2 linked regions of the Danio rerio genome follow. The protein of the gene in region 1 purifies or fractionates together with the protein of each later gene. This does not show direct contact. Links are inferred from orthologs where the notes say so. Each region holds a gene or a part of one and is shown in the gene's direction. Other genes may lie near its edges. The genes, in order: cxcr4b and tmem63ba.

Region 1 (16,629 bases):
GTGGTTTGTTTTGGGCTATGAGCCAATGATGAATATAAATTTCAAGCAACACCCCAGGGGAAGTGTCACCATTTGAAATTTCATTTTACCCAACCTATTTTTTCCTTTTTCATTACCCCTTCTTTATTTTGCGAAGTCTTGTCAGGACGTGTGGGCCCAGAAAATGTGTCAGATTTTTTTTGTCTTTTCGTTCTTGCTCTCTCACTCCATGCAAACTGTAGTGCTTCCTGTTGCAAGTCAACACCACAGATCAGCACCCACACGAAGCGCATGGTGCAGCATGTGACTGCCTGTTTTACATGGTTTCACTGTAGCTCACGTGTAAACAACATGCTGCGAAAGTGAGAGTCAACATTTCTGATTGCAAACCGTGCATGGAGAGACTCAACTGTTCTCATTACTTCTCTGAGTCTATCTCTAAACATTTTTAAGGTATAACTAAGGCCTGCCCAACGAATTCTCTTGTGAATAAATGGTCATCTCCTCTAATTTCAAAGTGCTAAGCCATGACCTAATGCTATAAGAGGAAGAGCTTTCAAAAAGTCAATACGTCTGCCCCACACCCAAATAGGAAGCATAAGAAGGTGCCATTCGAAGATAAGGCAAACCTTTGTCTTTAAATATTTCCATTGTACAATCGTAAGACTTTGTTATTAAAAATTATATTAAGGCATTTCCTAAATGTATTTGGGATGTAATTATTATCTATAAATGTCTTTAAATAAGTTGCCTTTTCTTCATTTTGTCTTGTTTTTATCAAATGTCTAAACATTCTTCCATCAAGATGTTAAATAACACAATACATCAATATTAGGCCTGTTTTGATCAAACATTTTTTTACTTATAAATTAAGCTTCTGAACTTACTTTTGGTGCTTGTTTACTCATTTAAAATGAGTCAAAGCAACACAATTCTTAAGTTTTTTTTTTTTTTCCAGGACAACTTAATTGTTTTATGTTCAGTCCACTTAATTTTGTAAAAAATAATAAGTAGTAATTATAATAAGTAAATCATTATTTATTATAATAATAAATAAGTTAACGTAATCAATTTGGGTTGGGACAACATGAAACATATTTTACAGTGTTTGTTTCAAACAACTATAAAACAATATTCTGATCATTTTCTTTAACATGGAGTTAAATTTAAAGATATATCTGAAGAAATTTTAGAACAAGAAATGCTTCTTGAATGTATTAATTAAAATTGAATATATGTTGTTGTTGTTGTTTTTTTGGCATAAAAGATGTTTCATGTTTTCAAATATACTCAAAAACTGATTACTGCATCTTGTTCACACTACCTGTTTAAAATGAGCTGAAAGAACACTATTCATGTCATTTTTTTTAGCCAATTTATTTGTTTTTGTTCAGTTCACTTAAATTTGTAATGTTAACTTTTTGCGTTGTCCCTGCATTTTGAGATGGGCAAACATAAAGGAGTTGTGTTGGTCCAACTATCTGGTAAGGGGATTTGTAGTTCCCAACATGTTTACATGGGATTGAATAAAGAGAGGGAAAGGTTGACAATAAAAGTAATCTTAGGTGTTTAAAGTTCAGAGAAAGACTTGCTGGTGTTTAATCTTCACTTTAGTTTGAAGATTTAGAAGAGCTTCATGTAATGCTTTGAGTTTTAAGATTACCAACTTGCAGAAGCGCCCATGCTTTGGGTGATGGGCCAACATAAAGGAGTTGTGTTAGTCCAACTATCTGGTAAGGGGATTTGTAGTTCCCAACATGTTTACATGGGATGGCATCAAGAGAGGGAAATGTTGACAATAAAAGTAATTTTAGGTGTTTAAAGTTCAGAGAAAGACTTGCTGGTGTTTAATCTTCACTTTAGTTTGAAGATTTAGAAGAGCTTCATGTAATGCTTTGAGTTTTAAGATTACCAACTTGCAGAAGCGCCCATGCTTTGGGTGTTGGCAGCTTAATTAGCTAAAATGCAGTTTGTTGCTTTGCTCAGTGAGCAAAAACTGTCCTTAAATTAGTTCTGAGATCAGTGTCGATCAACTGTAAATGTAACTCATGAAATATGCTTAAAAATTTATTTTAGTTCAGGTAACTTCAAGAGATTTCAAAATGTGCGACACATAATAGTCATGTGTAAATAGTTTTTTTAGTTGGTGCTAAACATTTTTTTTTTTTTTTTTTTTTGCATGGAAATCGAGTTAATCCAATGAGTTATTGTTTTTGAGTAAACAGTGAATTCAAGAATTCATTTTTAGAAATCACAATTCCAGTGTTTTACCTTCAGAAGTGTTTGTCCTTTTTAGTGACAAGAAATTAGCTTTTCTGAACAGTTGTCAATATCTGAGAAACATCATGTTCTAAATGACAATATTTCTGTAAAATGCTGTCCGACCTCTATAAAAAAAAAAAAAAAAAAATATATATATATATATATATATATATATATATATATATATATATATATATATATATATATATATATATATATATATATATGTATATATATTATTTACATTTTACACAAACACATAATTAGTAAATGTGTACACTCTAAAACTGTTGGTTTTTATTTTTAAAACTCAAATTAATATCGAATATGGGTCAAATATGGACAAACCCATCCATTGGCTTTAAAGTTTTATATAAATTTAAATTTAAGGATTAACCCAAACCAGCATTTTTAGAGTGTAGGACCTGTTTTTTTTTCCCTGACACACACCTAAATTGAGAAACTTTATGATATATGAGCAACACACCATTTAGTCACGAAAGATGAAAAATATTCCCGGCTGGAACATGAATGGGCAAATCTTATCATGTCTTTCCCCTGGTTATGTTTCACTTGCTCTTGTTGAGGGGAGGTGGGTGAATCTGAAATATGCACAAACACAACCACAGAGATGCTGGAAGGAATTAGGCAACAGCCATCCAATATGCATTTCTGCATTAACAAATACAAAAAGGCATCATCAAACTAAGCATTGATATTTAAGGTGTTTTACGTAATGTTAAGTAATGTTTACGGCCCAATCAGATTGCGCACCAACTGAGAGCTTATATGTGAACATTTATATTTGATATTTCGAGAGTTTTAGAGACATATTTCCCTGCTGGAAATTTCTATTTCCTGCTGTCTTTCTTCCAATTGAGAAATCTCACAAGTCTTTTTTTTTTTTTTTTTTTTTACTTTTTGTAAATACAGTATTATTATTTCATAGCATTCTCAGTCCTACATAAAAAAATAAAAATAAATAAAGCCCATGAATGATTAGAACATAAATTTATTTTTATTGTGATGGATAATGCAAAGACTAGAAGTGAAATGTACTTTAAAACACACCAGGTTTACAAATACATGTAAATTAGTAATACTGACTGTAGCGTAGCCAAAAATGTGGCTTTTTGGTGGGTTTTAAACAGACATTTAGGCTACTTGGAACACAAAAACAAAACCACACATTAAACAATTTACTTAATCTCACCTGTATTGTATTTAAATTCAATCTAATTATTTATTTATTCATTAATTAATATATTATTTTTTTGCAGCTTAACTGCAACCCATCTCTGGGAAATATCCATACACAATCATTCACACTTATACACTATGGACAATTTAGCCTATCCAATTGACTTGTTTCAAATGTGTTTGGACTGTGGGGTACACCGGAGCACCGGGAGAAAACCCTGAACATTGAACATGGGGAAAACATGCAAACTTCACACGGAAATGCCAACTGACCCAGCCGAGGCTCGAACCAGCAATCTTCTTGCTGTGAGGCGACAACACTACCTACTGTGCCACCGCGTCGCCCCTTTATTTATTTATTTCATTTATATATCTTCTGTAATGAAAAGGGTTTTATTCATGAAACTCACCTCAGTCACTCTAATTAATGTTATAACCATTTTTCCATTATAAAAATTTTTTAATCAATTGCAGCTACTGTAATCATGTGATATTTAAATGTTAATTCTGTATTCAAAATTTAGACTAGCTACATTTGACTTTTAAATGTTAAAAAAAAAAAAAAAAAACAGGTTGACAAAATGTAAATCAGCCAGCTTGGGGTTTTCAGTGTCAGATCAAAGCAGAAAAAAAATCTCCACAGTCTTCACACAAACAGTTGGCTTGTAATTGCTGGAAACCCCCTAGCTCTGAATTTTAAGATTAATTATGTATCATTGCATATTTGCCAAAAAGCTCTATCTTATAAACCAGAGCTGATCCTTCAGCCCTCATCATATTATTATGAGTGTGATCCTTTTGCAGCATTGCTGACGGCCACGAATGAGCTGCGGCTGCAAAAAAAACAAGCATTGTTTACTCTCTGGAGGCTTTACACATTTCGTTCTTTATCTCCTCTGCATTCTTTTACCTTATTTCCATGCTTATTCCCTGCTCCTTAACTCCCTTGCCGCTCTTCACACTTTTTTTATTTGAATTCTAAACAGCGCACAGATCCTTTGTATTCAGGGTACAAACGAATTGTGTTTAATGCTCTCAGGACAGGGTATCTTATATTTCACAGGGGGGATTCTAGCGCTGGTTAGCGAAACACATCCTCCTGACCTGACCCTCACTCGCATAATTGAAAGAAAACAAAACACAGAGACATTGCCAGGTTAATAATTCAGTCTGAAGCGGCCTGTCAAAACCTGTTGAAACTTCCATGCTGGAGTTTGAGTCTGAATGCACTTCTGAGAGTGGTTTTATGAAAAATCTTGAGGAAAAATTGGCAGTTTTCTTGTGTAATGCTATGTTTTTTATTATTATTATTATTATTTTCTATGTAGAAGTATTACATCATACTGCATATTTTTGTTCAAAAAATGTGTCATTTCACTCATTTTTTTTTCTAATAACTTCAAATAATGCAAAGATAACTACCCAGCAAACAATTATGTGTTTAATAGACATTTAATAGACATCTAAATGTAGACAGCTTAGCTAAAACAGGTCTGTGAGTAAAAATCTAATAGACATCTAAAAATAGTACAAACTAGACATAGTCGTCAAATAGACAGATTAGACAGACTTTATATGTGTAGTCGATCTGTTTATTTGACGAGTAGTTTTGGCCTATTCTTAGACGTCTAGATTTTCGCTAACAGCCCAAGTTTAGCCTTGTTTTAGTCAAGACAACTATGTTTAGACGTCTACAGACATCTATTAGGCATTCTTTAAAGACAAAAAATTCTTACCTAGTATGGTGAAAATAATTTTACTATAAAAATATTTTCATTCAAAAATTGCTTGTGAATTTTACAGGTCTAGCTGGTGTAAGAGTATTTTGTTTATTATTTATTTATTTTTTACAAAAAAAATAAATAAATAAAAATATTAAAACTGTAAGTGAGAATAATTTTTTTGCATATATTAAATTGTGTAAATGAATCATTTTTATTCAGATATTGCTAGTATTTATTTTAGCAAACAACATTTTACATAATAAATTGGAAAAGATTGTGTAAACTATTTTACTCATATATTTGCAGAATTGCCCGAAAAAGTATAAAGAGTATAAAGACTGAAAAAAATAAATTCTTATAAAACATACTTCAGCAATTTTGTTTTTATATTATTTTCTACAGTTTGTGAAGAAAAAAAGTTTATTGAAAGAAAGAAAGAAAGAAAGAAAGAAAGAAAGAAAGAAAGAAAGAAAGATTTATATGATCAGTAGAGCAAAAAGAAAGCTCTAGACTTTTAAGTGTCTGAACTGCAAAAGATAGGATCAAGTGTTTATTGTTATTGGACACAGTTACATGATCCTTAAGGAAAAGAGCATAAAAATTCTCTCATGTCATCATCCGTCAGGGAACACTTCTACATCTACTCTTATTTGTCCCGAGTCACCTTCACTGCGTATCCATTACTCACCAGAGGCCCGAGCTGTTGAAGTTTCACAGGAACACAATGGATGGAGGAATCCCATCTGTATGTGACTCTGACTCCAAGAACTTTACTCAGACTCAGACACAACAACAAACAGAAATAAAAAAAATCACTGAAAGGGGGTTTATTTCAAATTACAAATACTTACAAATCAAATGTGTTCCATTATTTTTAACTTCTTTAGAATATAAACCAATTTCACTCAGATTTTGTGAGTACAATAAAATCTTCAAAACTGATTTAATATACTTACTTACTCACTCCCAGAGTCATTAATATCAAAGTTGATATGTAGCTGCACCACATTGCTGTTTCATAACATCTATTTTATGAGGTGGGTTGTTAGCCCAACGCTCAACCCCCAACTTGGAGGACAAAGACATACACACATACACTACAGACGATTTAGCCAATTCACCCGTACCGCATGTCTTTGGACTGTGGGGGAAACCGAAGCAAACCCCACACAAACATGGGGAGAACATGCAAACTCCACACTATACTGCTGGCCCAGACAGGGCTCAAACCAGTGACCTTCTTGCTGTGAGGCGACAGCACTACCCACTGCGCCACTGTGTTGCCCTGATTAAATATACATTTACCAAATACTGAAATACAAGTTATTTATTGCACCAAATTTACAAGCAGCATCTTTATTTAATTGTTTTATTAAAACAAAGCTCATGGACAGCACTGTATCTGACTATCACTTTAAGATCCAATATAGTGATATCTATTTTTTTCTTATTTATGACAGAATCAACATTATATTCAGTCATTCTGACAATTTTGTGTGCTTTATATATCTGTGTGAAATAAAGATAACTAAAAAATGCATCAGATGCTGTCTGAGGGCACTTCAGGTCACAGTGCAGTAAATGGTCAATGGTTTATTTTGTTATTAAGTAATTTTTTCAATTATTGTCACAGCTCATTGCATGTTATTCATGGTAATAATTAATCATAATTCTTATTTCTGGATGTGTTATTGTTGACTTTGGATGAGAAATTAAATGCAAAAACATATATTGTTTTGACTAAAATGTCAGATTATGTAATGTGTTTATGTGCTTCCTGCTAGCACATCTAAGAGGTGTAAATATGTTAACAGCCACAGTTGTGAATAGTAGTGTGACAGTTTGAACTGAAAACAATTCAATTGCAGATTAGTTCTAAATGCTGTTTCCCACCATGCAGTCAATATTATGACTGAGTATAAATATATACTTATGATAAATACTAAAAGTTTTAGCCTAGTATATGGTTAGTATAAATATTAACCCGAATAATACTAAAATAATGTATGAAGATTGTGTGTTAAGAATAATTAAACCACAAAAACATGATTAAACTGGTTAATAACTGAAGTGTTCATATGCAGAAACCTTCAAGTTAGATCTGGATTTTTTTTTAAATATGCATTTCTCTCAGCCTCCTTTGTTTATGTTCAGTTATTTCACATTAAAGGCTATGAAAATAACCTATTATTTTCCATTCATTAATTAATTTCCTCTCCATTTAAGAGGTCACCTCACTATTTCAGCCACAACCCAGTATTGAGAAACACCCATATCCACTCATTCACAGACACACTCATACATATGGACAATTCAGCTTATCCAATTCACCTATACTGCATGTCTTTGGACTGTGGGGGAAACCCAGAGGAAACCCACACGAACATGGGGTGAACATGCAAACTCCACATAGAAATGCCAACGAGCCCAGCTGGGACTCAAACAAGTGACATTCTTGCTGTGAGGCAACAATGCTAAAGACTGAGCCATATCCAGGTTAATAGAGAGGACCGGGAGAATTCTCTGTGGGCCGGTCCATATTTTGGCCGTGAGGGCCGGGCTGGTGTCATATCCTCCTGAGACCAAAATAAATCTTTTTTTCTTCTTTTTTTTGTGTGATTTCCTACATCCTTTGGTTTACAAAAAAATCTATAATTACGAGTTTTTACATTTTGTTTTTAATTTTAATTTTACAGGATGTCCACTGTAGTGGACCACAGGACGATTTCAGTTCGAAATGACCACCACTCAGACAACAAAACTGTACAGGATATGGCTGTAAAGAGATATTAATCCATATTAATGTAACAAAAACAAAAAAAAAACATTTTTTCCATTTGTATTGAAATTCCTGAAACAGATTAGTCTGAAAGAGAGCCGAACTCTCTTTTTTTCAGTCTTTATTTTATACATGTAGCTTAATATTTGTATTTATTTTTAATTTCAAGGTTTGGATGTTTATGAGCACTAATTCTTACAGAAAATAGATTCTGAACATTACATTGTGTTAACTGTTCAAATAAATCTTCACTGTAAAGTACTGATTTGAAAATGATGTTATTTTAATATAGTCAGTTGTGAACTGAAGTGGCCGGTCTAAGGTTTAAAACTCCATTGCTGAAAAGGTGTCCAACTCCGGCTCTGGCCATACCTCTATTCTTTTCCATACAAGTGAAATTAATGAACATGCACAGGGGAGCCAGGCAAAAATGCAGGAAAATTTCAGACAGCACTTAGAAGTTTTGCACCTGAACTCTTCAACTCTATCCTATATTTAACTTCAAGCTCTCCTATTTGCTTTATTTTTTTAAATCCATCCCACATAGGAAAATTTCTCTGGCCCAGCTCTGGCCCACACAATCAGGTTTTGCTTGGCCCACATGCCGCAGTGAATTACGGTACATGACTGGACCAAATCTGGCTTCCAGACAAGGGCCAAACACGGACCATATCTGGGCCAAGTCTCAGCCAAGTTAATAACTCATAACTGGGCCTGAACTGGGCCAGATAGGTTGGTGTGTCACGATCGCAATGAAATTGATAAACCCATAGAGTGATGCGCTGTAGGGCACGCTTTTTCTCAAAGTGACCTGATTGGTAGAATTTTTGTTTTTTACTCAAAAATGATTTTAGTGTATTTTAAATGTGAGTCAAGACTGGCCAATCTCACATGGCCCACTTATCAAATTTTTAAATCTGGGCCAAATACTACGTTTTTCATCTGGCCCAAATCTTGTGTGCCGCCTTAAAAACGGTGCCACCTCTGCCAAACCCGGGCCATGTTTGGCCCACATGCTGTATGCCAGTGCTGGTTGAATGCCTGCTGTGCCAGCTTTTTGCCAAATCTGGGCCAGAATTCTTTGCTACTAGGGATGCATGTTTCTTCATGACACTAACTAAATAAAAAGCAGCTGACATTGGCTATCAAGCTAATCGCACTTCATTAATTCATTTTCTTTTCAGCTTAATGAACCGCCAACTTATCCATGCAGCATATGTATTAAGCAGCGGACGCCCTTCCAGCTGCTACCGATCACTGACACTCCCGCAAATGCACAGAGACTCCCGGATGCCCGCGTAATCCCCCTGGTAACTTCTGGGAGACTTGGGATGTTTGGAATTTGGTCGTATTACATTTCCATAAAACACTGTGATATAACCGTGCTCAAATCGTATGGCTTTCTCACTACAATTGATCCACTTCAGAGTTTGTTTCATTTGAGCCGAGACCACCTCATTCAGGCAATCTCAGACGATTGTTTTGGCATGAATCTGAGCGGGACTGCTGAAATTTCATATGCCAAACGAACCGCGCTAACTGGGCAAACGAGACAGGTTCTGAAACAAAAGTCTATGTGTGAAAGCACCCAAAATTGGCTGTAGTGTATGTGAGAGTGTATGGGTGTTTCCCAGTACTAGGTTGCAGCTGGAAGGGCATCCGCTGCGTAAAGCATATGCTAGATGAGTTGATGGTTCATTTCACTGTGGCGACCCCAGATTATTAAAATAACTAAGCCAATAGAAAATGAATTAATAAATAATTAAAATATTAGCCAACTCTGAACTCGCATTCGGCAAACTCTCACAAATGAAATGATTAACTCCCTTAAATCAGCGCGTCATGTTTCAGAGAAATATGATCATCGTTAGGAGTCGCAGAGTTTGGATCTGTCAGGAAATGTTAGTTTAGGCTTATGATGGAGGCGACTGGGTGACCTTCTTCCTTCATCACTCACAATCAGAGCCCAGCATCAAATATATTGCAGGAAGGACCAGAGGAGAACCGTCATGCAGTAAATCACACTACAAAGCCTGATGTGTCCTCAAGTAACGGCCTTCACACTGCTCTTCACATGACGCGATAATAAACAAACTGCTGGGATTTCTGAGAGAGAAAGTCCACTACAGATGATCAGATGAATATGTGAGGGATCTTGTGAAGCCTTTAACACACAATAAACCCTGGCAGGGTGATCAGCACTTCAACACAACAAAGTGGCTTGTATTGCCCTTGAGGGAATTAATTTGTGATAATGACCTGCTGACTGCTCATTATCCCCTTTGTTGCACAGCTAATTAGCAAATAAATAAATAAATAAATTGACATCAAATAATACTTTGAATATAAAAGATATCTATCCGTCTGATTGTCTGTCTGTCTTTCCGTTTGTCTGCCTGTCTGTTCGTCCTTCTATTTATCTACCTTTTTCATTATCTATCTATCTATCTATCTATCTATCTATCTATCTATCTATCTATCTATCTATCTATCTATCTATCTATCTATCTATCTATCTATCTATCTATATATCTGTCTGTCTGTCTGTCTGTCTGTCTGTCTGTCTGTCTGTCTGTCTGTCTGTCTGTCTATCTAACTATCTATCTATCTATCTATCTATCTATCTATCTATCTATCTATCTATCTATCTATCTATCTATCTATCTATCTATCTATCTATCTATCTATCTATCTATCTATCTATCTATCTATCTATCTATCTATCTAACTATCTATCTATCTATCATATATCTATTATCTTTTTTTCATTTTCTATTTATCTATCTATCTATCTATCTATCTATCTATCTATCTATCTATCTATCTATCTATCTATCTATCTATCTATCTATCTATCTATCTATCTATCTATCTATCTATCTATCTATCTATCTATCATATATCTATTATCTTTTTTTCATTATCTATCTATCTATCTATCTATCTATCTATCTATCTATCTATCTATCTATCTATCTATCTATCTATCTATCTATCTATCTATCTATCTATCTATCTATCTATCTATCTATCTATCATCTTTTTTCATTATCTATCTGTCTAAGATGATAGCAATCTATAGTAAATAATACATTGTTTTCAAACCAAACTATAGTAATGTAGCCCACTTAAATTGATCTGGTGTTGTTTTTGTATAGTTGGTATGGAAACTGTGGTAGTAATCTTTGATCTGTTGTTTTGATTCTGCAGTTGCTATAGCAACACAACGAAACAGGAATATAAACAAATGACATGCTGTAGTTTTCTACAACAATAGGGTATACTATACTGGTACACTACAGTTTACTGTAGTAAAAACTAAAATAGGATATACTGCCTTTTTCTTTTTTCTCTTTTGTTTTTTTACAGTTGAACAGTTCTCTACAGTGCTGAAGCATTCATTAACAAAGTTGAAATACTATATGATTTACAATAAAATAGACTTTACTATAAAAATAGTTCAAAAACAGTTTTATTTTTTATAATTAGGCTACTATATCGTTTTTTTCATGTAGTAAAGAAAAGCAAATCGTCTTAAAAATATTTCTTCAAAACATTGTTTAATAGTGTTTTTCAAACCATGTTTTTTTTCTGTGCATAGGCTATTTTTGCTATTTAGCCCGAATAAACATGTAGATATTACGCTTCCTCTGTAAAATCCGCTCGAGCGCATGCATTTAACACAGTTTATTTTGACATGCCAGAGAGCTGCCGCTTACTCTCTCATCACCCCCCACACACCCACAACGCACAAGCGCCGCCTGCATCATGACCCCGCCCTGCTGAATAAAATTGGGCGTGTCTCAGGGAACGGAGGACTATTTAAATGCTGCTGTGAGAGGAGGGCGGTTGACTGAAGTGTGGAGACTTATTGCGCCTTTTTGAGCACACTTATAAGAACAAAATGGAATTTTACGATGTAAGTTGGCTTGTGATTAATTTATAACGCTGTGTTATCAGACATTCCATTGATAAGTATTATTAATAAGACTAGTTTAAGTGTATCATGTTTTATTACTTGCCCTAGGGTGTCACGTTTTACCATTCAGGCTCGTGTTTGGAAGCATTGGAAAATAACTATATATTTTTTTCAGTTATTTATTTATTTTTTGTCATTTATTATTAACCTTGTATTTGTATAAAACCATTTTACTTTTTTTTTGCATTTTGTTTTCTTGAATTATTATTATTTTTTGTTAGTATTATCGTAATAAAGTGGTATTTATATAAAAGTTAATCAAAATACTGATTTTTTTTCTTCTTTTTTCTGCAGAGCATCATTTTAGACAACAGCTCTGACTCCGGTTCTGGGGACTATGATGGAGAAGAACTTTGCGACCTCTCAGTCAGCAATGACTTCCAGAAGATCTTCCTCCCTACAGTATACGGGATTATATTTGTCCTAGGAATCATTGGCAATGGACTTGTGGTGCTTGTGATGGGCTTCCAGAAGAAGTCAAAGAACATGACAGACAAATACAGATTGCACCTTTCAATCGCAGACCTCCTGTTTGTCCTCACCCTGCCATTTTGGGCGGTCGATGCAGTCAGCGGGTGGCATTTTGGGGGATTTCTGTGCGTCACAGTCAACATGATCTACACTCTGAATTTGTACAGCAGCGTGCTCATCCTGGCATTCATCAGCCTGGACCGCTATCTTGCAGTAGTACGTGCCACAAACAGCCAAAACTTAAGGAAATTGCTTGCGGGAAGGGTGATCTACATTGGAGTTTGGCTTCCAGCGACTTTTTTCACCATTCCTGATCTGGTGTTTGCAAAAATCCACAATTCGAGCATGGGTACCATCTGCGAGCTTACTTACCCGCAGGAGGCCAATGTCATTTGGAAAGCAGTTTTCCGCTTCCAGCACATCATCATTGGCTTTTTGCTGCCTGGTTTGATCATTTTGACCTGTTACTGTATCATCATCTCAAAACTGTCCAAGAACTCCAAGGGTCAGACTCTAAAGAGGAAGGCACTGAAGACCACCGTCATCCTCATCCTCTGCTTCTTCATCTGCTGGTTGCCTTACTGTGCCGGCATCCTGGTGGACGCTTTGACTATGCTGAACGTCATATCTCACAGCTGTTTCCTGGAACAGGGTCTGGAGAAATGGATCTTCTTTACGGAGGCGCTGGCATATTTCCACTGCTGTCTCAACCCTATCCTTTATGCTTTCCTAGGCGTCAGGTTCAGTAAATCTGCCCGTAATGCTCTGAGCATCAGCAGTAGATCCAGTCACAAGATGCTGACCAAGAAAAGGGGGCCTATATCATCTGTATCTACTGAATCAGAGTCGTCCAGTGCACTGACGAGTTAGTGTGTGCATGTACACAAAAAAAGAAAAAAAAACTTTTCCACATGGATGATTAAGCTTATAAAAACAGGACTTTACTACAGTTTTTGTACATTGTAAAGTATTTTTGTGTTGATCTGATGACTTTTATTTTGTAAGACTTATTTTGTTTTTATTCAGCTTTAAAAAATATTTTAATTTTTTTATGTACATGTTTGTACTTTTATTGCCAGACCTAAAGGCTGAGCCTTGACAAAGTCTGTATTCTTGCTGAAGGTCTTATCAGGAATGTTAGCATAGTCTTTTGTTAGATTCCCAACGCGTAGTGTAAATTATTTGTACATAGTTCATTGTTTGCCATTGTGAATGTGTGTATGTGTGCACTTAGCTTTTCCAACTCAGTTTAGCTTTTTTATATTTATTAAAATGGTAGCTCACACTGTAAAAACTTTTAAAATGTTGAGTTTTGTAATTTAATTGTCACATTTTTGACGCATTTTAACTTCCATTTCATAATAAAACCTAAAAATCAACACTTTTAATGAGGTCTGATCTAGTGTTGTCTTACATCTCTCCAGTGGCCATTCTCACACACACACACACACAAACACACACACATACAGAAACACAGCCCCAATCTGTGAGTGGGGGTTGGTAGAGCTGAAGTGAAGGTCTGTCAAGTTACCAAAACAAAAGCTCCACCTGATCTCCCACTGAACAGAATGGTTGAGGAGAGGGTCTGTAATTTTAAGAACATCTGTGTTCTTTAGCGTTTTAAGCAACTGCTGATACAAGACACCCAGCAACCTACAAAGAGACAGAATTGGCCATCCTTTGGGTTTTCAGTTGTTGTATCATATAACATGAAAGAAATTAATATGGTAGTTAATTTAAACAAAATCTACAAAATGCCCATTTATGTATAATAAGTGTGAAAAAAAAATATTGCCGTTATTTTTTCCTTAGGATTTAAAGTATTATAGTAATTTCTTGTAGTATTGCAGTTAAAAAAATCTGAATAATGCAAATAGGGTGAAAAATTTTCATGAAAAATTAAAATTTGAAAAAAAAATTTGCACAAATGTACATATTAAATATTAAAGAAGACAACTAAACATATTTTATCTTTCAGTTTCATTAGTGTAATGACTTATTGTGTTTTACTTTTACTATACACACAAATGGGCTTTATAAATCGTGCACAAACAACTTATTTTACGCAGAATTGGTTTTGCATCTTTTTTATGAAAAAAAGTCACAAAACAAAAAAAACAAATCAAGTAAGAAAAAACAACAATCAAAAACAAATTAAGTGAAATAGTGAAAAATAAAACATTTTTAGCAGAAAAATATAAACATTTTATTCTTGTTAAAACTAACAATAATCTTGTTTTTAATATAACAGCATAGTGATTATTGTCATATAACCAACACTTTGCTTAAAAAAAGAAAAAAAGGGTAAAAAAAGAAGCAAAAAAGATTTTGAAGGCATATGTTTAATAAAACAAAAATAATAAAAAGCTGAAAAATGTTGAAAATGCAAAAATGTTTTGAAAACATGCAAAGCTTGATTGGTAATATATGACACCCAAACGCAGGATTCAAGACATGATACACAAACAATTTTATTTATAATGTAATGTGATACTGCAATGTTAATGAGAGATATATTTGAAATTACTGTATTTAAAAACAGTAGTCTGGACAGTAGCAAAACAGCAGCAAAGTAACAAAACAAAAGTATTGCTGCAATAAAGTATTTTGCAAGTATTTATAAGCATATATAAGCTTGTATAAACATATTTTTAATAAAAGTGGGGTGTAAATTACATACATATCTCACAAATTATGTTAGGAAAAAACACAAATAAGCAGTCATTTTATATTTTGCATCTGATGTCAACTTAGAATAAAGGAAAATTTCATCTTTCATAACTCAGCCTGTTACTGTTAATAAATGTCTTGCACTTCTGCGCTTTTGGCTGCAGTTTTATTGTACATATGCCAATCATCAGGATGTGGTCTACAAGTGCGATGAATAATTAGTTACAGAAGCAGGTAAGCAGCCCTGAAGAAACGATATGGGTAGAATATAGATATTCGCAAGGTTTCCATTGTAATGACCTGACTCATGTTTAACACACTGGGCTGAAATTATCATTTCTAAAGAGCTCAATGAGGTGTGAAGCACCCTGCATCATGCATTAAGTTTTATGGTATTTTTTCACTGTCTGCCCTCACAGTAAGAGGCCGGTGAAAATAGAGCATTCAGTGCTGCGTTTTGTTCATTTGGAAATGTTTTGGAATGGTTTGGTCATTAGCATGAGAGCAGTTCTCAAAAGCCACGCCACACCATTAACACTCCATTGAGCTCAGCTGGACCTTCTCTCCCATCTCCAGACAGCCATTTGAAGAGAGAGCAGCCAAAAGGAGCTTCTGGAAATCAGCTGGTAAAACCCTGTTATTAAAACTCAGACAAACCTTCAGCCAAGCACATTACAGGTTAAAAGCAGATGTTAAGTGCATCCAGACACACCAATCCTTTTAATAATTGATGGTTTAAATGGGAGGAAAAATGAAAGAACGAAATAACTATGAGGAAGAAATGGAAAGGAGCTACTTGAAAACATCACTTGAATCATTCATTAGAGAAGCTATATACAAAAAAAAGTATTAATTAACTGAAAATGTTTTAATATAAGTTGACTATGCTTTACATCCTCAATTTGAAACTGTAAACGTAAAATGATCTACTTTTTTAAAAGCAAGCTGCTTCCCAAATTTGGTCGGAAATGTGATTGACCTGTTTGTAGATGTGCATAAAGCTGCCAAGGAAGTGGTTTTGCACAGACGGTTGATTAAACTGTATTTCCTCCTCCTTGCTATTAGTTTATTATTATGTTTACATTGTTTTGGCTGGAAAATTAGGATGGGGAAGGAAGCTTCCTGAATCAGGACCTCCTGTGACCAATGAAAGACTTTATAGCCCTACATAAAACCACTGAATAGAACAAACAGAACTGGTGGTCTTTAACTCAAGACAAAGGCTGCTTTTAGGATATTGATTGCCTGATGATTCTTCCAATGATTTCGTATAGCCTAGCCTAATAGTGTGTACTTGTTTAGATATGAAGAGTTTACATTTAATCCAATAAAATGTTAGAAAACTGTATGGTAAAGGGACAGTTTTTCCCAAATTTTGTATTTTAGTTGAACCTTCACTGACATTTTCAGTTACAATAAATGTATTCTATCTAAAACTGTTTATGTTTTATAAAAAGGACAAAGGTCTCCTCTTAGTTACGGTCAAATCTCTGTGATATACAAATCTATAACATAAAATTTTACATGTAAATAGGTGTCCAAAATGTGAAACATTACTAAGCTTC
Region 2 (16,177 bases), on another chromosome or scaffold:
GTCCAAGGACATGCAGTACAGGTGAATTGGGTAGGCTAAATTGTCCATAGTGTATGAGTGTGTGTGTAAATGTGTGTGTGGATGTTTCCCAGTGATGGGTTGCGGCTGAAAGGGCATCCACTGCAAAACCATTCGCTGGATAAGTTGGTGGTTCATTTTGCTGTGGCGACCCCGGATTAATAAGTGACTAAGCCAACAAGAAAATGAATGAATGAATGAATGGTTACAGGTTTCCAACATACCTTAAAATATCTTCTTTGGTGAACCAAAAGAAATATGGTTTTAAACAAGTCAAGGTTAATAAATAATAGCAGAAGTTTCATGTTGGGTAATGATGATGCATTTTATTTAACATTCAAATTTAAAGAGATAGTTCACCCAGTAATCTAAATTCTGCCATTGTTTACTCGTCCTTGACTTGTTCCAAACATGATTGAGTATTTAGAAGAATATTGTAAACCTGTAACCACCGATATCAATATAGTAAAAACAAATACTTTGGGAGTCTATGGTTACAGGTTCCCAACATACTTCAAAATATCTTCTTTGGTGTTCAACAGAATTGGTATTAAACAAATCAAGGGTAATAAACAATGCAGGACCTTTCAATTTGCGTAATGATGACATATTTCACTTAACATACATATTTAAAGTAATAGTTTACCTAAAAAATCCAATACTGCCATCATTTACTCATCCTTGACTTGTCCCAAACCAGTTTGAGTATTTAAGAATGAAATCTGTAACCACTGATATCCATAATAAAAACAAATACTTTGAAGTTAATGGTTACAGGTTCCCAACATACTTCAAAATATCTTCTTTGGTGTTCAGACAGAACAAAAGAAATTGCTTTAAACAAGTTAAAGGTAATAAATGATGGCAGAATTTTCATTTTGGGTTTTTGGCTGTACTATGACTTTAAATCATGAATGCATGATAATTAATACATTTTTTTTCCCGATTAGACACAAACATCCCCTTTAGTGCATTTTGCCTATATCTCTGTTTCATTACATTTAATCATATTGGACAGGATGATGTAGAGATGTGTTCAACAGCAGTGCTGTTTTATTCAGCAGCTCTAGATTAGCAGACTTCCGGTTTGTCAGAGAGCTGTTTTTTTGTAGCACACATCCCCACCTGCTGGACGATGACTGTAAATGACTGCTGGGGAAAACATGCTGTTGCAGGCATGTAAAAAATAAATAGTTAGATGACTTTTACTTAACTGTTTAAAATTTGTACAACATTTTTTTTATTAAACTGTCTCACTTTGAATGACTGCAGAAGTTTTTTTTTAAAAACTTAAAGCGATATTGTTGTTTTTAAAATTGTTTTTGTTTCTAATTCATTCTTTTGCCATAAAAAAAGCCTTCATTCCTGACATGGCATTACATTAGCTTATTTATTCATTCATTTTCCCTCAGCTTAGTCGCTGATTTATCAGGGGTCGCCACAGTGGAATGAACCGCCAACTATTCCAACACACACTCATACACTATGTCCAGTTTAGTTTATTCAATTCCCCCTATAGCCCATATGTTTGGACTGTGGGGGAACCCGGAGCACCTGGAAGAAACCCATGCCAACATGTGAAGAACAAGCAAACTCCACACAGAAATCCCAACCTGGGACTCGAACCAGCAACCTTCTTGCTATGAGTCGACAGTGCTAACCACTCAGCCACAATGCTGCCCTAATCTAACTTGTATGATATGCTTAATTGTTCACTTAAAGCATTGGGATGTAGCTGAATTAAATGGGACCGTTACATCTGTTCAACTACTCATTAACGTAATTACCTCATCAGCCAATCATAAGGCAGCAGCTTGTCAGGACAATATCCAGATAAAATCAAGCATCGAAATGGAGAAAACCCTCCAGAATATTGTGAGTTCAGTGGTTTGAGATTTTGAAATTTTGAAAAAATCACAAGACTTTAAATAAATATTACATTTTGAGAGTCATTTTAGGCAGCAAATATACAAAGAAATGTCCCTGCACAATCCTGGAGGGACTGATTTAAGTGGCTGAATATGGCATGGTTGTCGGTGCCAGACGGGCTGGTTGGGAATTTCAGAAACTGCTGATCCACGCACAAACATCTCTAGGGTTTACAGAGAATGGTCAGAAAAAGAGAGCGCTTTCAATGAGTGGCAGTTCTGTGAGCAAAAATGCCAAAGGTCAAAGAAAAAACATCACTAGAGAGTTTTGAGCTGATAGAAAAGCAAAAGCATCTGTCTCATGTCCAGCCTTGACACTTCTATTGAAGACTTTTTGACAACATGTATTTAAGGGTGCCATGAGTGCTTTGAAATGTGCATTTTTATTTGATGTTTGGCATAATCTAATATAAAGAGTGAGTGGTATATAGTGTAGCTCCTCCCCTTTTAAGAAAAAAAACAACCAATAGTGTTTGGTTTAATCAGCGCTCTGCCAGTGGGAGTGGTTGAGTTTAAGCACATCAAATGTAAACTTGTGTCTTGAAGGGGGCGGGGGATGTCAGACATTAGAGAGCGTTTGATTGGTCAAGATTTGATGAGAAACCAAAGTATGAGGTTACGTGAATAACACCATTGATCCATTTAGGCAAAGAGAGCCCAGACTCTGTCCTGGGGAGCCGGGTGTCCTGCAAAGTTTAGTTCCAACCCCAATCAGACACACCTGGGGCAGCTAATCAAGCTCTTACTAGGCTAGAAACATCCGTGCAGGTGTGTTGAGGCAAGTTGGAGCTAAAATCTGTAGGACACCAGCCTTCCAGGACTGAGTTTGGGAACCCCTGATTTAGGCGGACGTGACAAACTGCAAGCTTTGCATCTTTATATCAATTTCATGTCTCCTAAATGTGTGTTTTGTCATTGTTTTGGTGTGCACTAGCTTATACTGTGGCAGACCACGATTTTTTTTGTGATTTTTGCAATTAAAAACTACAGACTTTTTGGTGTTGATTTCCAGAAACTTGTGGAAGTTTTGGGATTGAAAAAATATATATAATTTCCTTCAATTTGGTCACTTCCAGCTGCCGTCATCATTGAACCATTCTCCATCATTGTAAGCTGCTTGCTGTTTTCTGTCTGTTTCATTGCTCCATTTGTTAGATGTTTGCTCCCACTTTTATTTGCAGCCTTAAACACGTCAAACGCAAAAAACACCCAATTTATGCCATGACATTCGCTCAATTCTGCGTACGAAACATCTAAGTCATGTAAAACTATTAATTGCAAACTGATTTCAATATAATTTGATTGCATGGTTTAGAATTTGATGTTTTATGAGATTATTTAAATTTTTTGAAATTATTTTGCGTTTCAAGTAAGAATTTTGCAAGGTCACAAAAATTTGCAATTTTTTGTTGATTTTTGCGTTGGATTCAGCGATCGTAAAATCGCAAACAAAGGAACAATACTGATTCTAACATCTAAAAAGTTTTATTGTAATTTCATTGTACCTTTAAGTAGTGATGTCTGACTTTGGTCATTTTAATCCACACTGCAGGAAGAGGCTGTGAACTACTACACTAAGCTTGAGGCCAAACTGAAGGAAGAATACAGAAAAGAACGAGAAAAAGTCAACACTAAACCTCTGGGAATGGCCTTCGTTACCTTCCAGAATGAAGCCATGGCAGCCCTGTAAGTCTATGTAATGTTCTGGTGTCTGTGTGTTACACCACTAATCAAAAAGTACTGAAATTGACCTTTCAGTTTGTTCCTAAAATGTGGTGGAGTTGATTGATGAATAAGAAGATAGGTCATAAATATTGATTTAAAATACTGAGAAGTTTTTTTGTTTGATTTGTTGGTTTGTTGCTGTTTTACTTCTGTACTATGTAAGTGTAAAGTTAAAATGCAGTAAAGATATTTAAAATAAAAGAAGAGAAAATGATCAGGTTTTGCCATTATATTCTCTGAAGTAAAACTCAAATGAATGTTAAAATCGTTACCTTCTGATACAATTCTGTCTCCATTGGGATTTATTATTGAAAGGGAAAATAATATTAATATCTCTGTTTTTTTCTCTTCCCAGCATCCTGAAAGATTTTAACGCATGTCAATGTCACGGTTGTCACTGTCGACGACAGCCAAAGTCCTCCCCGTTCAGCAGCCAACTCCACACATACAACTGGACGGTCTCATATGCTCCAGATCCACAAAATGTTTACTGGTAACATCCCTTTCCTAAACCTCATCAAGTAATGATCCTTATGATTATAGTGCTTGACTTTGTGCATAAACCAGAATCCATATTGTTGTGGAACTGTCCACTTAGATATAAAAGACCATAATTGGACATCTACACCAGATTTTTTATGCACGTCAATTTGAAATCAATCAATCATTTTATCTTAGTGTACACTTTGTAAAAAAAAAAAAGTTGGACATATATAGTACTTAAAGAGAAAGTTCACCCCAAAATTAAAAAGTGGTTCTTTTTTCTGTTGAACACAAAAGAAGGTATTTTGACGAGTATTTGAAGAGTTCAGATGCAAAACCCTTTAAATCCATCAGACCTCTTTTCTTGTAATTGAGCATTTTCTATCAGGCTCTTCTAATTAGGTTTAAAAGTTTAATTTTATATGTAATGATAAGATTATTATATAGTAAATAAAATACACGTTTTTCAAAAATCTCACTTTAGATAATTCTTTGGTTTTTAACAATGTAAATTTTCTTTTGCGCCAAAAAATGCTAAATCCACTTGTTCTTTTTTGCAAAAACCTCTAAATCCACCTATTGGCACAAGACAGTTTATTTAGTTAAAAATCCCTAAAGATGCAATTAGAAATTATTTTACCAAGCATAAAACACATTACACAAACTACCTACAATTAAAAATATATAAATGCGTCAAGTGGTGGTTCATTCCGCTGTGATAAACCAGGGAAAAAGCAGAAGGAAAATGAATGTATGAAATCTGTTAAGTAATTCAATCTGAACAATCTCTTGTCATTTCTGATATTTAAGATTTAGATTTAATGTAAGTACAGCAATGTAAACATTGCAAACATTGTAAGCTAAACTTACAATTACTAAATAATGTAGTGTAAAACATGATGAAACATCAATATCTGTGCATTGTCCATTAATATAAAAAGCTTATCAGACGGATGGGTATTATAAAGAAGGCTAATATAAATGTACAGTTTCATACATTAAATTCATCTTTTAAAAATAGCTTAAATTAGCAAATAAAACACAAGGTAGGCCTACTGGGCAAAAAGGGGATGCCTCTCAGACAATTTGAAAAGCTGTCATTCATTCATTCATGCATCCATCCATCCCCACCAAGGTCTTGGTCTCTTGTTTATCCTCATTTCATCCATGTGGGATAAAAGAACGGCATCTTAACTCTGTCTTTAATGAAATGCAGTTGCAGTTTAATGTATGGCAAATTCTACTCATTCAAAGTAGCGTCACTGCGCAAAAAACGTTATGAATGCATGCTACACTTTCGACTGTACAGTGTGTTTTCTTTTTCTTATAATTCACAGAGTTTTGAGGTAAGGGACATTTTCATTTGCCATTCACTGACAGCCGGACAGGTTCATCCAGTTCATCAAACTCTCTTTTAAAACCGAAATCGAAAGCGGAATAAAACAGTCTCCTCATTAAGCTGGCATATCAGCACGCTGTACATTGAAAACGTGATTCGATTCATGCCTTCTGATTGGTTCTCGGGATATAGCGGCTTTTCCTGTCAAAGGAAATAGTTAACAATAGGAAACAGTTTCCAACATCTTTTAAAATAACTTCTTTCAACAGTTCAACAGTAAAAAGAAACTAAAACAGGTTTGTGACAAATGAAGGATGAGAAAATGATGACAATTTTCAGTTTTGGGTGAACTATCCCTTAAATAGATAGATCTGTCCAATTATATGGATATTAGGTCAAACAGTGTACAGTAAATAATCACAGAGCCGAGATATGTTATATAGTATAAATTGCTTTGTATATTCTAGTTTTGCAGGTGAAGTTAGGATGTACTTTTATGATATTACTGGCTAATATGGTATAGTTTACAATTCTTCACAACAACAAAAAGTGCCTTTATTAATGTATAAAGTTGTCATTATTATTATTATTAAGTAATATATAGGTAACACTTTATTTTAAGTCACAATTCATGCTATTAACAAACCATTAACAAAACATATAGCTCAATAAACTGCTAATTAATTGTCAGTAAGGTCGCAGTTGGGTTTAGGTATTGGCTAAGATTAGGGATGTAAAACAAGATCATTCATTATAGCTACTAATTTACAGTTAGTATATTAATAAAAGGCAGGTAATAAGCCAGTAGTGAAGAGTGACTTAAACTAAAATGTTACCGTAATATTTTTTCTGTATTGAGCTTGCCAACTTAAAGCCACCACATGCTGAAATGACCATAAATAAATTTGATTGTACTCTCTGTCTTACCTTATGGTTGGATATGCTTATAACAGTTGTATCATTCATTGTGGTAATTGTAACTTATACCTTGTTCTCCACAGGGAGCATTTGTCCATTAGTGGCCTGAACTGGTGGGTCCGCTGCTTTGTCATCAACTGCTTTCTCTTCCTCCTCCTCTTCTTCCTCACCACCCCTGCTATCATCATCTCCACGATGGACAAGTTCAACGTCACTAAACCTGTGGAATACCTGAATGTAAGGAGTCTGTTTGTCCAGGTTGTAATGAAAACTCACGCGGTAGTGAAAAACTGTTTGAGAAATTGATTTTGAATTAACTCTAAGATTCTCAAAATCCATCACTATTCACTTTTGAATCAATTCTGTGCTCAGTTTTTAACAGCAGATGGTGCTGTATGCTTTACAAACAGTCATGCTCTGCAAGCATCCAATACAAAATATATACATATAACATTTTACATGACTCCTTCTCGTAGCATTTGAATGCATGGTCAAAAACTAGCCTAGAGTGCTGTCTGTTATTAAAACTAGCCTAGAGTGACATCTGCTGTTTAAAAACTAGCCTAGAGCGCCGTCTGCTGTTAAAAACTAACCTAGAGTGCCATCTGCTATTAAAAACTAGCCTAGAGCGCCGTCTGCTGTTGAAAACTAGCCTAGAGCGCCGTCTGCTGTTGAAAACTAGCCTAGAGCGCCGTCTGCTGTTGAAAACTAGCCTAGAGTGCCGTCTGCTGTTGAAAACTAGCTTAGAGCGTCGTCTGCTGTTAAAAACTAGCCTAGAGCGCCGTCTGCTGTTAAAAACTAGCCTACAGCGTTGCTGCTGTTAAAAACTAACCTAGAGCGCCGTCTGCTGTTGAAAACTAGCCAGCCTAGAGCGCCGTCTGCTGTTGAAAACTAGCCTAGAGCGCCGTCTGCTGTTAAAAGCTAGCCTAGAGCACCGTCTGCTGTTAAAACTAGCCTAGAGCGTCGAACTAGCCTAGAGCGCCATCTGCTGTTGAAAACTAGCCTAGAGCGCCGTACTAGCCTAGAGCGCCATCTGCTGTTGAAAACTAGCCTAGAGCGCTGAACTAGCCTAGAGCGCCGTCTGCTGTTAAAAACTAGCCTAGAGCGTTGCTGCTGTTAAAAACTAACCTAGAGCGCCGTCTGCTGTTGAAAACTAGCCTAGAGCGCTGAACTAGCCTAGAGCACCATCTGCTGTTGAAAACTAGCCTAGAGCACCGTCTGCTGTTAAAAACTAGCCTTGAGCGCCGTCTGCTGTTGAAAACTAGCCTACAGCGCCGTCTGCTGTTAAAAACTAATGTCAGAATCCATTAAAAATACAAAATAGGGATGCACTTTGAAAATCTCAGCATCGTTGCAGAATTGATTTCTCAAATAATTGTTCGCCAGTCGCCATGGCTCTAATAAACACAATGCTCTTGAGTCATGATTCTGTCAGTCATCTCAAACCTCCCTCCGTTTCCCTGTGTCTGTTCCTCCAGAACCCCATCGTCACTCAGTTCTTCCCTACCCTGCTGTTGTGGTGCTTTTCGGCCCTCCTCCCTACCATCGTCTACTACTCCGCCTTTTTTGAGGCCCACTGGACACGGTACAATCCCAATCCCTGTATATCAGTTAACCTAATTGACCCGGAGATGGTCTCCATTTATAGCAACTAAACTAGGGCTGCACAATAGATTGCTTTTAAGTTCTGTGACTCAGCATTTCATTCGTTTCAAACATTTGAGCACAAAAAAATTATGATGTTTTGAGGTGTAACAGAAATTAATTGTACAGTATTTAAGTATTTATACATTTATATACACTCACCGGCCACTTTATTAGGTACACCTGTCCCACTGCTTGTTAATGAAAATTTGTCACATGTGATGGTGGTCACATGGGAGCAACTCAATGCATTTAGGCATGTAAACATGGTCAAGACGATCTGCTGCAGTTCAAAGCGAGCATCAAAATGGAGAAGAAAGGTAATTTAAGTGACTTTGAATGTGGCATGGATGTTGGTGGCAGACTGGCTCAGAAACTGCTGATCTTGTGGGATTATCATGCACAATCTCTAGGGTTTACAGAGAATGGTCTGAAAAAGAGAAAATATCAAGTGAGCGGCAGTTCTGTGGGCACAAATGCCTTGTTGATGCCAGAGGTCAGAGGAGAATGGCCAGACTGGTTCCAGCTGATCGAAAGACAACAGTACCTCTAACCACTTGTTACAACCGAGGTCTGCAGAAAAGCATCTTTGAACCCACAACACGTCCAACCTTGAGGCGGATGGGCTACAGCAGCAGAAGATCAAAACGGGTGCCACTCCTGTCAGCTATGAACAGGAAACTGAGGCTACAATTCACACAAACTCACCAAAATCATACAATAGAAGATTGGAAAAACATTGCCTGGTCTGATGAGTCTCGATTTCTGCTGCGATATTTGGATGGTAGGGTCAGAATTTGGCATTAACAACATGAAAGCATGGATCCATCCTGCCTTGTATAATTGGTTCAGGCTGGTGGTGTAATGGTGTGGGGGATATTTTCTTGGCACACTTTGGGCCCATTAGCACCAAATGAGCATCATGTCAACGCCACAGCCTACCTGAGTATTGTTGCTGTTACTTCCAGCAGAATAACGCACCATGTCATAAAGCGTGAATCATCTCAGACTGGTTTCTTGAACATGACAATAAGATAACTGTACTCACATGACCTCCACAGTCACGAGATCACAATCCAATGGAGCACCTTTGGGATGTGGTGTGCATCATGGATGTGCAGCCAACATATACGCAGCAACTGTGTGATGATATCAAGTCAATATGGACCAAAATCTCTGAGGAATATTTCCAGTACCTTGTTGAGTCTACGCCACGAAGGATTAATGCAGTTCTAAAGGAACAATGGGGTCCAACCCAGTACTAATAAGGTGTACCTAATAAAGTGGCCAGTGAGTGGTTTTCTTCTAATTTTTGTCTTGTTTCTGGTCCAAATATCTACATTTCAAAAGCATACTAGATTATTTTGCTTACCCCATTATTTTGCTTACCCTATATATAAACCTATATATATATATATATATATATATATATATATATATATATATATATATATATATATATTGATATTACTTTTGTAGGTGGAAACAATATTTTTACTCAAATATTTGCACTAGAAACAAGACAAAGTAAAGTAAGAAAAGCTTTTTTACGTTGTGATTATTAAATGTATGTTCCTCAATACTGTCAATACTTCCCCGAAAACTGTCAAATAGTGCTATTCAAACCATCTTGTGAAACTGTAAACATATCACAATGTTTATTAAAATATCTCTATATCAGATTTTTCCAATATCGTGCAGCTCTATACTAAACTATTTTCTGCCTAGCACACGCATAAGGGTGCTAAAAGCTGAAAATGTGTTGGACCTTTGCCTTTCAGATCTGGAGAGAACAGAACAACCATGCACAAGTGCTACACCTTCCTCATCTTCATGGTTCTGCTATTGCCATCTCTTGGATTGAGCAGGTAATTAATAACCACTGGTGTACATAGAAAACTATCTATGCTAAAAGGAGTGTAAAACGTTAATTTTCCTGAATAAGCAACCTGATAAGAGTCTTTGTTATATGCTAAGTTTAAATCTGCGTATATTACAAAAACATTTTCATATGCAGATACTGTATTTTGTTACTAAAAAGCATATCATATGCTCATGGGTATTTGAAAAAAAAGAAGTTAGTATAGGTGTTTCTTTACATTTGCCATCAGAAATGCTAAGTGGTAACTGAGTGAATTTTTCCCTCTTGAATGAGAGATGTTAATTAGATATGTGTTAATTATTACCTTCCTGTTTTACAGTAATCATTTGCATCATAATAATAACATAATTTTATGCTTAAAGGAGTATAAAAATGTTATTTTCCTGAATAAACAACCTGATAAGAGTCGTTGTTAAATGCTAGTTTAAATCTGTGTATATTACAAAAACACTTTCAAATGCAAATACTGTATTTTATCACTACATGGGTATTGGAAAAAATAAAATGTTTATTTATTTATTTTTGTTATTTTGGAGGCTGTGTTAGTTTTGTTGAACTGGTTCTAAATTGTATTAAACACTCAACATGATTTCTTCCCCAAATGCAGTTTGGATCTTTTCTTCCGCTGGCTTTTTGATAAGAAATTCCTTGATGAGGCAACAATCCGATTCAGGTAAGTCCACATCAGGAATTGCAGCATTAAAATCGTCCCCTTTCATCCCCTGATTTGGGAAGTTAAACTGGAAAAGCTAGAAAAGTGACAAATGTCTACTGATGTTGTGAATTGTAGCTTTGCAATAAAAACTTCAATAAAAATAAAAATTCCCCTCATCTCTGTTTTAATGATCTTTTTCCTGGCTGTTAGGTGTGTCTTCCTGCCAGATAATGGAGCTTTCTTTGTGAACTATGTTATTGCGTCTGCCTTCATTGGTAACGCCATGGACCTGTTACGCATTCCTTATTTCCTCATGTACATGATCCGGCTGTGTCTGGCGCGCTCTGCTGCAGAAAGGCGCAATGTAAAGAAGGTCTGTGTAGTTTAGAGTTTATCTCATTTAAATGTATGTACTGTATTCACTCCTTTGTTTCTGAATTTCTCATTCTGCTTCTATTAAATGCATTTTGTTACAGCATCAAGCTTATGAGTTCCAGTTTGGAGCTGCTTATGCTTGGATGATGAATGTCTTCACTGTGGTCATGACCTACAGCATCACCTGTCCAATTATTGTACCATTTGGTGAGTAAATAATTAATTAACCTACACTGAGGTATTATTTAAAGGCTCAGTATTGTTATGTATGTGATGTAGGTGTTACTTTGTTTAGTATTGATTGTGTTCAGCACTTTGGGCAACGTTGTGTTGTAAAAAATGTGCTATATAAATAAACTAACTAACAAACTAGTATGTGTTTTGGCCACTAGAGGGTGCATATTCACAACAAACAAAGGTGTATTTTGATGACGGCATGACTAGGTGTGGAATCATGCGAGTTTTAGTCTTCATTACATGAATGAAAAAAATAAATAATTGTATATTTTTACCCGCAGGATTGATGTACATGCTTCTGAAGCATCTGGTAGACCGGTATAATATGTATTATGCCTACTTGCCCTCCAAACTGGATAAGAAAATCCACTCTGGAGCTGTCAACCAGGTGGTGGCAGCACCTATACTCTGCATCTTCTGGTTGCTCTTCTTCTCTACTGTCCGTCAAGGTAAGAACGGTCTCTGTGTTCTGCCTGATTGTAGACATGCTCTGGATAAGGGCTGCACAACAAAGTTTTAGCATCAATCAACATTGCAAGCTCTGCAGGGTTGAGTCTTGATTACAGTTGGTCAGACACTACACTACCTGACAAAAGTCTTGTCATCGACCCGAGTTGTAGGATCAACAAATAACTTGACTTCTAGTTGATCATTTGGAAAAGAAGGTGGATTTTTCTATTGAGCTGCATCCCAATCATCGCAAATACTGCAGAAGACCTACTAGAACACACATGGACCCAAGATTCTCACAGAAATCAGTCAAGTTTAGTGAAGGAAAAATCATGGTTTGGGGTTACATTCAGTATGAGGGCGTGCGAGAGATGTGCACACTGGATGGCAACATCAACAGCCTGAAGTATCAAGACATTTGTGCTGCCCATTACATTACAAACCACAGGAGAGGGCAATTTCTTTAGCAGGATAGCGCTCCTTCTCATACTTCAGCCTCTTCATCAAAGCTCCTGAAAGCAAAGAAGTTGCTCCAGGATTAGTCAGCCCAGTCACCAGACATGAACGTTATTGAGCATGTCTGGGGTAAGATGAAGGAGGAATCATTGAAGATGAATCCAAAGAATCTTGATGAGCTCTGGGAGTCCTGCAGGAACGCTTTCTTTGCCATTCCAGATGACTTTATTAATCAGTGATTTGAGTCATTGCAGAGATGTATGGATGCAGTCCTCCAAGCTCATGATGGAGTCAGACACAATATTCATTCTGTTTGCACTGCAGCATGACTTTATATTCTATACTGGACACTATTTCGGTTAAGTGACAAGACTTTTGTCTAAGCAAAGACAGACCTTACTGTCCTAATTAAATCATTAAACATCAAGGCTGGATCATATTTAATTTTGACCAAATAAGCGTCATCTAGAGGCCTTTGCCTTTAATATAACCCTCTTCTGAGACCAAATGATCAACTAGAAGTCAAGTTATTGTTTGTTGTTCCTAAAACTTGGATAGGTGACAAGACTTTTGTCAGGTAGTGTATTCACTAACATATACACAATGAACAATACATTTATTACATTGTTTGTTTAAATAAAGTTGTTCATTGTTAGTTCGTGTTCACTTGTAATAAATGCTGTACGAGTATCGTTTATAATTAGTTAGTAAATACATTAACTAATAAAACCCCATTGTAAAGTGTGACCTGTATCTTTGCCTCAGTTGCATTTATCGAATGTAATTAATTATATTTTATGCAGATGCAGTGCTCTACATATCATTCCAATCAATCTAAAACAATTATTCCTTTTCAAAAATGATGAATGCTTTTTAAAAATAGATGTTCAAGTCACCTGGTGAATATGTAATAATATTAAAGTTTTTTCCAATACTGTGCAGCCCTATTCAAGATGCAGTTACAGTATGTTTCTAAAAATACAGCAGTGCTAAAAGTAGCAAAAAGTACAGGCAGATTTTTGGCGTATCTGTAATATGATTTTTCAATCTTGCTTGTCTTTTTTTCAATCTGACAGGATTTGGTGCTCCGACATCCATGTTTACTTTTGTGGTTCTGATCATCACCATCATTATTTGCCTCTCGCATATAGTCTTCGGTCATTTCAAATACCTCAGCGCGCACAATTACAAGGTCAGAAACAGGTTGATTATGATTTTAAGAAATCATAAAGGCCAGAATTATAAACCCAAATGTGATTGAATTCTCTGCAGATTGACATGGATGGTGTGGACAATGGACGACTGCGAGGTTCATCCCCACCGGTCAAGTCTATGGTAAGTTTTAACCCTCAGGGATGTTTATATATTCTCAGGGGAGCTAATAATTCTTCAACTGTTTTGTGCAGCCCTAATTGACGCACTACTATGTTGTCCTGTCTGATGTTTTCTATCTGCTTTACACATTCTGCACTGTTTTTTTTTTTTTAAATCAACAGCAGACGTACATTGCTCAAGTGCTACAGGACCCAAACTCAGACGAGACCGGAAGTGACCAGGGTCAAGGGTCATCGCAGGACGAGGAAGGGGTGACCGAGGGTGACTTCCAGTCAGGAGAGGACAGTCTAATTGAAAACGAAGTGCACCAGTGACCCAGGCCGGGCCACGGCATGTGCTGAACTGAGAGAAACTAGCAGGACTCCCCACATAACCAAACGGAGATACACTACACTAACTGTGTGTGAGTCCATCCCAGCTGACAGCTCAAACACTCCTTTATCTTTAATGTTTGGAGACAGGATGGCCAATTGTCAAGAACCTGGAGAGTGGCTTGTGATTGTACTCCAATATTGTTCATCATAGTTTCATAATTCATCCTCACATTGTTTGTCCTGGATTTGGTAGGTACAGAGTTTCCTGCCGTTACAATGCATGTTTAGTCAGTAAGACCAAAAATATAAATGATTAGCAAAAAAATGAATTATGACAGCTGTAGTGCTGTATCAGTTGGCCAGTAATGTTTTATAATAATATATTTGCTTACAGATTTCACCCTTAAATCTTTTGCATTAAAAGATTACTTATTTGGTGACAATTACAAGTAAAAATAGGTAGATTGCAACAGACTTTAACAATTACAGTATAAAGGACAGTTCTAAGATAGTCGAGAGCTTAACGTGTTGCATTTAAGAAAACACATGCAATTACAAAAATTGCACACAAAATAAGAAAAGATCCTCCTCACAACGCATACACAACAGTGCTGCATTTTCCTACAACGCAAATAAATCAATAAAACTTGCTGCATTTTCCTACAACGCAAACAAATCAATAAAACTTGCTGCATTTTCACACAACTCAAACATTAATAAAATGCGCTGCATTTTCACACAACGCAACAGTTTACGAAAACGCCTGCATTCACACAACGTAACAATTAACGAAAACACACTGCATTTTCACATAACACAAATAAATTAATAACGCGCTACATTTTCATGTAACAAACAAATTAATAAAACTTGCTGAATTTTCATGTAACAAACAAATTAATAAAATGCTCTGCATTTTTATGTAGCACAAATTAATTAAACACGCTGCATTTTCACATAACAAATTAATTAAACACGCTGCATTTTCACATAACAAACAAATTAATTAAACACGCTGCATTTTCACATAACACAAACAAATTAATTAAACACGCTGCATTTTCACGTAACACAAACCAAGAAAACATGCTGCATTTTCTCACAATTTACGAAAACGCCTGCATTTTCACACAACGCAACAATTTACAAAAACGTGCTGCATTTTCCCATAACACAAAAAAAATTGACAAACCGTGCTGCATTTTCCCACAACGCAAACAAATTAACAAAACGTGCTGCATTTTCACACAACACAAAAATGAGCAAAAATGCACTGCGTTTTCTCACAACTCAAACGAATTTTAAAAAACATGCTGCGTTTTCACCCAACGCAACAATTTACGAAAACACAGCATTTTCACACAATGAAAACAAATTAATAAAACATAAAAATGAAAATAGATATATATTATTTTTTATTAGTCTGAATAACCATAACTTAATAGCCAGGTTCGTCACATTTTAGGTTCTCTTAAAACGTTTCCGTTGTGTTTCATGCTATTTAAAAATGTTGTAAGAAAATGCAGCACGTTTTTGTAAATTGTTTGCATTGTGAGAAAATGCAATGCATTTTATTAATTTGTTTGCATTGTGAGAAAATGCAGTGCGCTTTCGTAAATTGTTTGCGTTGTGAGAAAATGCAGCACACGTGCATTCAAACAACTGAAGAAATTTTCTTAATTTGCTGTCGTTTTTGTAATGTTTTCTTAAATTGCAGCACATTAAGCTCTCTCAGCCACCATACAGTTCACCCATAAATAAAATACAATTTTCTCAGTATGAAATAGTTCTAAACTTTCTTATAAATTCTGAAGTATGATGGAAGCCAGCAGCTATTTACATCAATAGTAGGATAGAAAAAAATACCATAGAAGTCATTGGCTGTTTCTCTGAAAGAAACTCAATTGACTTGCAACAAGTAGAGGATAAGTAATGAAGAATGACAGATTTTTCATTTTTCTGTGAACTATACCAGGAAATTGTGATGTCAAATGTATTAATGTGCATTCATTTACTTTTAAGCTGTCCATTAAGTAGAGTTAAGTATCCAATTATAGTACAGAAAACAGAGAGCCCTAAAACATTTCATAATCACAAATTGTATCTCATATTGTAATAAATTTTATACAGTCAAGCCCTAAATGATTCATAGCCCTGGCAAATTCTGACTATTCAGTAAGTACCTTTTCCTTAAAAGTATCATTTCTTAAGTTATTCCTTTATAGAAGTTATATATAGTAAGTTATAACTTATATAAGTTATTAGTATTATTATTCCTTAAGTTACATTTACTCAGTGAGTAACCTGAAATCACACATAATAAGATGATAATGAGATAAGACGATGTACAAGAGACATCATTGTAGAAAATAAACATTTCACAGCTTTTATTTACAATTGAACTTTACCTTTAAATCA

What was found.
Region 2: the proteins of cxcr4b (region 1) and tmem63ba purify together in Homo sapiens (co-immunoprecipitation; 3 studies listed by BioGRID and IntAct, with this or other methods). This does not show direct contact. The link is inferred for Danio rerio from reciprocal best matches to the Homo sapiens genes CXCR4 and TMEM63B.

The regions. Positions count from the first base shown.
Region 1 is NC_133184.1:10,807,656-10,824,284, forward strand, and holds cxcr4b (C-X-C chemokine receptor type 4b), read left to right. Parts: upstream 1-11,809; 5' UTR 11,810-11,848; coding exon 11,849-11,863; intron 11,864-12,217; coding exon 12,218-13,264; 3' UTR 13,265-13,782; downstream 13,783-16,629.
Region 2 is NC_133188.1:50,470,392-50,486,568, forward strand, and holds part of tmem63ba (CSC1-like protein 2), read left to right. Parts: intron 1-3,498; coding exon 3,499-3,632; intron 3,633-4,026; coding exon 4,027-4,164; intron 4,165-6,494; coding exon 6,495-6,648; intron 6,649-7,889; coding exon 7,890-7,996; intron 7,997-9,836; coding exon 9,837-9,923; intron 9,924-10,544; coding exon 10,545-10,610; intron 10,611-10,802; coding exon 10,803-10,965; intron 10,966-11,068; coding exon 11,069-11,174; intron 11,175-11,485; coding exon 11,486-11,653; intron 11,654-13,186; coding exon 13,187-13,302; intron 13,303-13,382; coding exon 13,383-13,445; intron 13,446-13,606; coding exon 13,607-13,759; 3' UTR 13,760-16,177. UniProt on the Homo sapiens protein: Mechanosensitive cation channel with low conductance and high activation threshold. Osmosensitive cation channel preferentially activated by hypotonic stress.